2 linked regions of the Tribolium castaneum genome follow. The protein of the gene in region 1 interacts with the protein of each later gene in a pairwise test. Links are inferred from orthologs where the notes say so. Each region holds a gene or a part of one and is shown on either strand. Other genes may lie near its edges. The genes, in order: ci and Kap-alpha3.

The links.
Region 2: the proteins of ci (region 1) and Kap-alpha3 interact in a two-hybrid assay, tested with the Drosophila melanogaster proteins (2 studies listed by BioGRID). The link is inferred for Tribolium castaneum from reciprocal best matches to the Drosophila melanogaster genes ci and Kap-alpha3.

The regions. Positions count from the first base shown.
Region 1 is NC_087394.1:31,482,208-31,486,034, reverse strand, and holds part of ci (transcriptional activator cubitus interruptus), read right to left. Parts: intron 2,596-3,827; coding exon 2,497-2,595; intron 2,447-2,496; coding exon 2,082-2,446; intron 2,026-2,081; coding exon 1,792-2,025; intron 1,743-1,791; coding exon 1,593-1,742; intron 1,539-1,592; coding exon 1,374-1,538; intron 1-1,373. UniProt on the Drosophila melanogaster protein: Has a dual function as a transcriptional activator and a repressor of the hedgehog (Hh) pathway. The full-length ci form (ciFL), acts as an activator (ciA) while ciR, its C-terminally truncated form, acts as a repressor. Involved in segment polarity.
Region 2 is NC_087398.1:4,900,027-4,903,953, reverse strand, and holds the start of Kap-alpha3 (importin subunit alpha-4), read left to right. Parts: upstream 1-1,465; 5' UTR 1,466-1,844; coding exon 1,845-1,907; intron 1,908-2,001; coding exon 2,002-2,700; intron 2,701-3,927. Other genes in the region: endonuclease/exonuclease/phosphatase family domain-containing protein 1, read left to right, coding at 44-225, 277-507, 798-1,075.

The sequences.
Region 1 (3,827 bases):
GCTTGATAATATTAGGTTTTTTATCGAGACCTTAAGATCGAGATGAAAAATACATTCGAAAGGTTTTAAACTGCAAATTAATAATTATTAATACCTATTCTGATGTTTAGAAATCTTGACATTACCGTGCGCAAAGTAAAACAAAAAACACGTGTTTTTGATTAATTGTATTTTTTTTGGATTTAGACTTTTGAGCTTAAGAAGTTTGTAAGCAAAGTCACGTAACATCTCTTAAAAAGAATCACCAATTCTAATAATTGGCATGTGAAATAATATCGACAGATTATTTCTAACAGTTTTTGTATGTGTGGCTTCATCTTTTCATCAGAAGACAGTGTAAAAGATAAGCTGATCGAAAGAAGTGTGAGGATGTTGGTTTAATACATTCATCTATATTTTAAGATTATACGTTTCTAAGCGTGATAATTTTTACTGGAGAATGTAAAACCAGTACAACTTTAAACGACGAAAAAAGCTTAAAAAAACACAAATGATATTATTCTTTCTGCTTCTGCAAATTAAATAATATCCATAAATTTTTTCAATCAGTTTTCTTTCTGTCAATAATAACATCTCATCACTTGTATTTTATTATTTTATTATTGTTTTAGTATTATTATTATTATTATTTTTATTGAATTTTACCTTAATTGTTGTATTAGATTAATTTGTTCATTGTTTGTTGTATTTTTCCAATAAAGGTTATTATTATTATTATTAAAAATTTTCAATTTAAAGGCGGATTTAGATTTTTTTGTCCCAAAATCCAATGCATCGTATCCTAATATCTGGGTATCCGTTTAACTAATGATGAACAACTTTTTTGAAGACCATAAGGAAAAACAAGGAATGCATTTTTTTAAGAATTTAAACTAAAGAGACAAAAAGCAAAAGTAAGAAAAATGAAAAAACTGCTGTGTCCTTCCCAGAGATAGAACGAAGGAAATTATTATTTGTTTCTTTTTCTTTAGTTGATAAATACATGAAATATCAGTCGTGCAAAAAAGATATTAATTAAAGTAATAAATTAAACTGCTAAATACAATTTAAAACTTGAACTAAAATAAAAGTTTCGATATCTCTTGTTCTTCACCTGTAGTCTCCATTTGTTTAACTGTTGCTAGGTTTGCTTGCAAGACAATAAGACGTATTTACTTGTTACAAAACCACAGACTCGACGTTAAGTATTTTGGAGTACAAGAACGGTAAGTAAAATTAATCGCACAAAAACTACCATTGTTGGTTTGGGACCGAAATTCCTAGCTTACCGAACCCTTCCTTCTTATTCTAGTACTTACTTCAATCTTCCGAATTTGTGAGCAATTCGATCAGAACTTTGTAAACAAACGACTCCACGTAAAATACAAACTTACCTCGTTACTGTGTGTCCGGTTTTGGTGTTTCGCCCTATCCGAAGCATTACTGAACGCTTTGGAACAACCAGGATATTCACAAGTGTACGGTTTTTCACCCGTGTGAGATCGTAAATGCGTTTTCAAATTCTCCAACCTCGAATAGGCCTTAACACAACCTTCAAACTACAAAAATCAAATTAATAAACCAAATTATTGGACCACCAAATTAATATTTACAGTGCACTTGTGCGGTTTTTCCCCCGTGTGTCTCCTCATATGCACCACTAGCATATATTGCGCTTTGAACGGCTTTTCTGCCCTCGAACACCCGTCCCATCGGCACACAAACGATTTTTTATTTGCATGTATGTGATCGTTGTTAATGTGCTACAACCATGCATTAATAAAAATAGTTTTAAAGCCTGATTAAACATACTTTAACAAGCTCATCCTGAGTCTGAAATTCGGTACCACAATCCTTCCAATGACAGTTAGTTTCGATAAAATCGCCAGGTTCGTCTTTGAGATCAGTTTGGTCGTTTTGTCCCTCGTTAATCGTCCCACTGACTGCATTACTCGGTTCTTTTTTAATTTTAATTTTCCGCGCTTGTGCGTCCGAATCTAGATGAGTTAAGGTACCAGTCTCAGATTTTTTCTTATCGTTAAGGGCCTGAAAAATCACTGTTTTGTTTTGCTGTTCCTTGTAGTTATTTTTTTTTGGCTTACATCAGTCTTGGAAATGTTGTGGGGCGAGGAGACGTGCAGGGGGTGGTGTCCGAGCGAGTACATGGAGTGCGTGGGGGTGGCGGGCGGCAGCGGGAGGAGCGAGCCCGCGCTCCGCATGAGGTGCGCTTGGAGTTGCTGGAGGTGCAGTTCGGGGTGCATGTTGAAGGCAGGGCTGATGGCGCCGGCCGAAAGGTGTCCATAGGAGCCGCTCGCGCTCGACGACCTCGAACCATTGACCAACACCAGCGAGTTGGGGGAGTATCTGATGGAGTTGATGTCGAAGGAGTCGGAGTAAGGGGAGGAGGATAATGCCCGCTTTCGCGACTGCCTTATGCTACCCGGCCTGGGACTGTTCAGCCGTGAACCTGCCAAAGCGCACATTACACAAAGCACAGTGCGGTAAGTGATTAATTACCGTCGATGCTAAAAGGAAATTCGCTGCTGGCCAACGCCGAAGATGGATGCAGGTCGGATAAGCCCCGCGCGCTGAGGTATTCAGGAGAGAGTCCCAGTCCTGGAAATCGGAAAAAGTAATTTTATAACAAATAACACGAGTTTACAGTAGGTTGGCTCAGGTTTTTTGCTGCTGTTGAGTGTTGGACGCTGATTTCCAGACTCCCAACAGATTTTTTCTATCAGCTCTAGTTTTTGAAATGTAGGAAAGTCAAGTAGCATTTGTTTAAAGAAAGGACACAAATTTAATCATTCACTTTTTGGTGCCTCTGATTTTGTTGTATTGGGTGCTGATTTCAAAACAGACAACAGACTTTTTTTATAAGCTTTAGTTTTCGAGTGATAGGTAACTTTATTTTCTATTTTATTTTCTATTTTAGCATTTATTAAGAAAAATATACACAGCTTTTTTAGCCACTTTCTCCTCTGTTGCTTCTGATTTTTTTTGCCTTTGTAAAGTAACTGTTGCATGCTGATTTCAAATCTGCCAGCAGATTTTTTCTACCTGCTCTAGTGTATGAGATATAGTAGGCACATACTTTTCATTTGCGCTAGAAGTGCTCTAAAATAGATATTTGCGAAAATTGTTGAAAGATAAAATTTTGTAAAGCAGTGAAATTCATAAACGCTCCAAAATTCGGAGTATATGATAAAAACGCTTTTCTTTATAAAGTTTATAAAACTTTTTGCTTATCTGTCGTTTAGCGGCTCACAGAACTCAGAAAATATACAAAGAAATTTATGTAAATTAAGTCTTATAAGAAGATTTAAATGAAATAAAAAAAAAACTACTGGAATGAAAATAACGTTTGCTGTAATGTTTGTAAAATAGTTGCGGTTAACCGCAATTGAAATGTTCGGGTGGTTTTTCTTTATAATTTTCAGTGAGTGAGTTTTTGTAGGGAAGTTGCCACTTGATGCATTTTTTTTATAAAATAATAATTACATTTACTTACCAATTACAATTATAATTATCAATTTTTTAATGGATTATTATAACAAGATAGTTCCTAATTTTCCAACTACTAACAAAATATTACTCACAGCAAGAAATTACGTGGAATAAATACTTTGATAACTTTCAAAATGGTGATTCAAGGAATTTACCTGACGTGGATAATAATAATCAATTTAAATAATCACTCAAAATCTGCATTTACTGCATTTGTTTCTCTATGCATGTGAATTTTTTCAGAATTTTACTACAATGCCTTATAACAAATATTAAGAGGAGGATGTAGGAAAATATTTTTTGATAGAAATTAATCATTTTTTCTTAATATCTTATCTCTT
Region 2 (3,927 bases), on another chromosome or scaffold:
AAAAACATCGTGTGAAGCACAGGTTTTGAGGAAATTGTTCCAGACTATCGATATTAGCCGTCCAAGAGGTAGTTAATGTCACAGCAATGAAATTAATTTGTGATGAGCTCAACAAGCCAAGGTTGAGACGAGTCAACGAGTGGAAAGATAAAAACCATAACTGGAATTTTTGTATGCTGGATGTAGATGGGTCCCAGTTAGGTTTTATCTATGACTCAGATGGAGGTGCAACACTACCTATTTCTAATTTTATTTTTATGACTAATTTGTTTCCAGTGATTGATATTGAACTGATATCACTGAACCAAGGTCCACAAGAAACAAGCGATGACTGCGAAGTTCTCATAGCAAGTTTCAAAGTCGGCGATTTAGACTTACAACTAGTTAACATGAAACTAAACAAAAAGGCGAAACTGGACGTGTTGCAGGAAAAAATAAAAGATCTAATTTCCGAAGAAGACATGCTTTTATTGTTTGTAGACTTTTCAGCTATTCCTAACATAACAGGTAAACTGCTGATAACATAACTAAACATGCAAATATTTTTTAACGAAATTGCCAATTAAGTTGCATAATTACTTACATCACAGCCTTGATGGATGGGAACTTCGTTCTTAGACGGCTGGTCGGGTCAAGCAGGCTGTGCCACCTAAGAGGGCGACATCTTACGTCAAATATAATTGTCAATTCTGATAGTAGTGAAATTAGGCATGCAATGCGAAGTTAGCGACAAGCCGTAAAAAACGAAGTTCTCTATCTATCAAGGAGGCTGTGAATGACAGTGGGCGTGTTTGCAGACGACTGGTTGACAATCGGGGGTCTCCAAGCAGCCTTTCCGAGTTCGATGAACACGAGTTATTTGCGATCGAAGTTGGGTTTAAAACCACAACACATATCAAATATTTTATGTAACAACAAAATCCAAGGGCAAGTTACGGGTATTAATGGGGTGGTACAGCAAGGTTTGACCCATTTGGCCATTCCCAATGGGTGGAATTGGGGCGGACCGGCGTCTCCTTTTTGCCCCGTCTGGATGGAATTGTTTCTAAACCCCAATTCTGGGACGGCGTTGTGATATTATCTTATTTTGTATTTAATTTTATTTATTTTTGACTGGGTATACTTCACGTAAATTTTACAAATTTATGGCTGTGTGTCGGACGGTTTTATTTCTAAGCTTTAAAGACAAATATGTGGGGGCACAGATGATTTTATTTTGAAATTGTGTTTTTGTTCAGAAATTTTCAAAAAAATTAGCGGGCGAATTTTGCAATAAAGGGCCCCGATTTCGTACTCCCTGTACTGTAACAACTTAGTCTTGTATTTGTAATTATTTAATAAATATTATTTTATTAACAGTGAGTTTTATTTATCACAAGTTCGGTCCAACAAACAATCGAGTGCGTAAGCACCGCACGTGAAAAGTGTGACCTTGACATCAGCGTGCCAACTTTAAAAACTGAAAGTTTTGCCGAAATTATTGCAAATAAAGGTGTAGTGTCCATTGAAACAATAAATTTGGCTTGATTTTGAGCCTACAGTGAAAAGTTGTGGTTTTAATGTTAATAAGGTTTAGATTGTGTTAATTTTCCCGATCAGCTGTCCTTCCGTTGTGTTTGCCACCGTGCGCGCAACCTGTGCAACCGATCTTTGTAGCAAATGGGTATGAAAAAAATACCCAAATTACGTTAAATCAGTCGGTAATTTTGTGATAATCGCGTCCGAACGTTTCCCCCTTCATTTTTCATGTTATCATAACGCCAAATCGAGTCTTTTACGTTTTAAGAGCGCCACCCGGCTTTTCCTCGTGTTTTCATCAGCCCTCCATTGTCAAATCTATCAAAATGGCGGATACAGGTTACAAGAATCGCATCCAGAATTTCAAGAACAAGGGAAAAGACCAAGATGTAAGTACCCCGCCCTTCCTTGCGCCCCACCGGCTCCCTTACTCCCGAAACACCCGTCCGGTGCGCCCCTTCTGACCGCCCCGTGTGCCCCCAGGAAATGCGAAGACGGCGCAACGAGGTCACCGTGGAATTGCGCAAGAACAAGCGCGAGGAGACCCTCCAGAAGCGCCGCAATGTCCCCGTGGTGGACTCCACCGACGAGGACGACATCGAGAAGTCGCTCTCCACCACGAACTTGGAAGAACTGGTGGCGCAAGCGGCCGCTATCGACAACCCCCCGCTGCAGCTGATGGCGATCCAAACCGCGCGGAAGTTGCTGTCTTCAGACAGGAACCCCCCGATCGACGCCCTCATCTCCAGCGGGATCCTGCCGGTCCTGGTGATGTGTCTCGAACGGTATGACGAGCCCTCGTTGCAGTTTGAGGCCGCCTGGGCGCTCACGAACATCGCCTCGGGCACGTCCGCGCAGACCAACAGGGTGGTGCAAGCGGGGGCCGTGCCCCTCTTCCTGAAGCTGCTGCACTCGCCCCAGCAGAACGTCTGTGAACAGGCCGTTTGGGCCCTGGGGAATATCATCGGCGATGGGCCGCAGTTAAGAGACTATGTTATCGAGCTCGGTGTTGTTAATCCACTTCTCTCGTTCATTAAACCCGACGTTCCGATTTCGTTCTTGAGGAACGTCACCTGGGTTATTGTTAATTTGTGTAGGAACAAGGATCCCCCGCCGCCTATACAGACTATTAGGGAGTTGTTACCCGCCTTGAATGCGCTTATTCACCACACAGATACCAATGTGAGTATGTACCAGAAAAGAGTCACAAAGGTGAGCAGTCTCATACTTTGCGTTACGTGTGAAAAAAATATAAAAAAGGGAAGAAAAAAAAAAGTTCACCTTTAATGACGTCTGAGTTTTAAAAATGTTGGATTCAACGGTGCGAGATTGGTGTCAAGGTCGCAATTTATTCTTTGTCCATTTTAATGATTTGCAAAAATACGTCTTCATCATTATTTTCGGTTGTTTTGTTAGTATTGATTACGACGTAATAAACAAAACAGTACTTTGGCTCTATAAACAAATTTTACGTTGGCAGAATCATTCATAAAATTTTCATTAATTAAAAGTTCAGAAGTAGGTCAGCTATAATTGTTTTCACTTATTAGGAGGTGTGACTCAGGTTTTTGTGACTCAAACCGGGGTTGTTTATAGAATATGAAGTTAAATTAAACAAGAAATATTTTCTTTACATTTAAATTATTCTTACCGATGGTCACATAGTCACAAAAACGTTATCAAGAATCAAGAATTACGAGATATCAAGAAAGACAATTTTACAAATAAAATATTTGTTTGAGATGCTGTCAAAACATTCTGGGATAATTAACATTTATTCTCACTTGTATAGAAGGGTTCTATAAATAATTGAAAGAAAAACCCTGGTTTCAGTGTCAGTAACAGAAACTGAAAGTTTGAAATTTTTTAGACGTTGGAATTTTATTTTAAAACTTTTCCATGTCCTTCTCGTCTGAAAGTAGATTTTTAGTCTCTTTGGCGACAAATTTCAAAGGCAAAATAAGCCTTGATAATTTTCGTAGGCTTGATTCGTCAGTCCTTAGATAACATTGTCAGGAATGTTGCATAAATAATAAATAAAAAAATATGAAGACATTGGAAGCTACTTAACATAAACAATTAAAAATGGATTTTTGTTATGTGGTGTAGTGGCAGCAATAACAAACAGTGTGGTTAATTTATTTGCGGTTTGTTTTTTGTACTTTTTAATGAAACGTGAAAATATTTATGTACATAATACTATTAAGATTTTTTATTAATTATAACAGATTCCTTACCTTTGTTGTTTTATGTAATTGTGGCATGTTGGCTTTTATTTAAAAAATCATAGAATTCACGTTGTGGAAAATAAATGTGTAATCGTAAATTTTGGTAAAATACTATAAAAAATTTCAAGTTGACTTCATTTTGTGAGGCACTCTCATTTATTTTATTTTTTTGTGCAATATT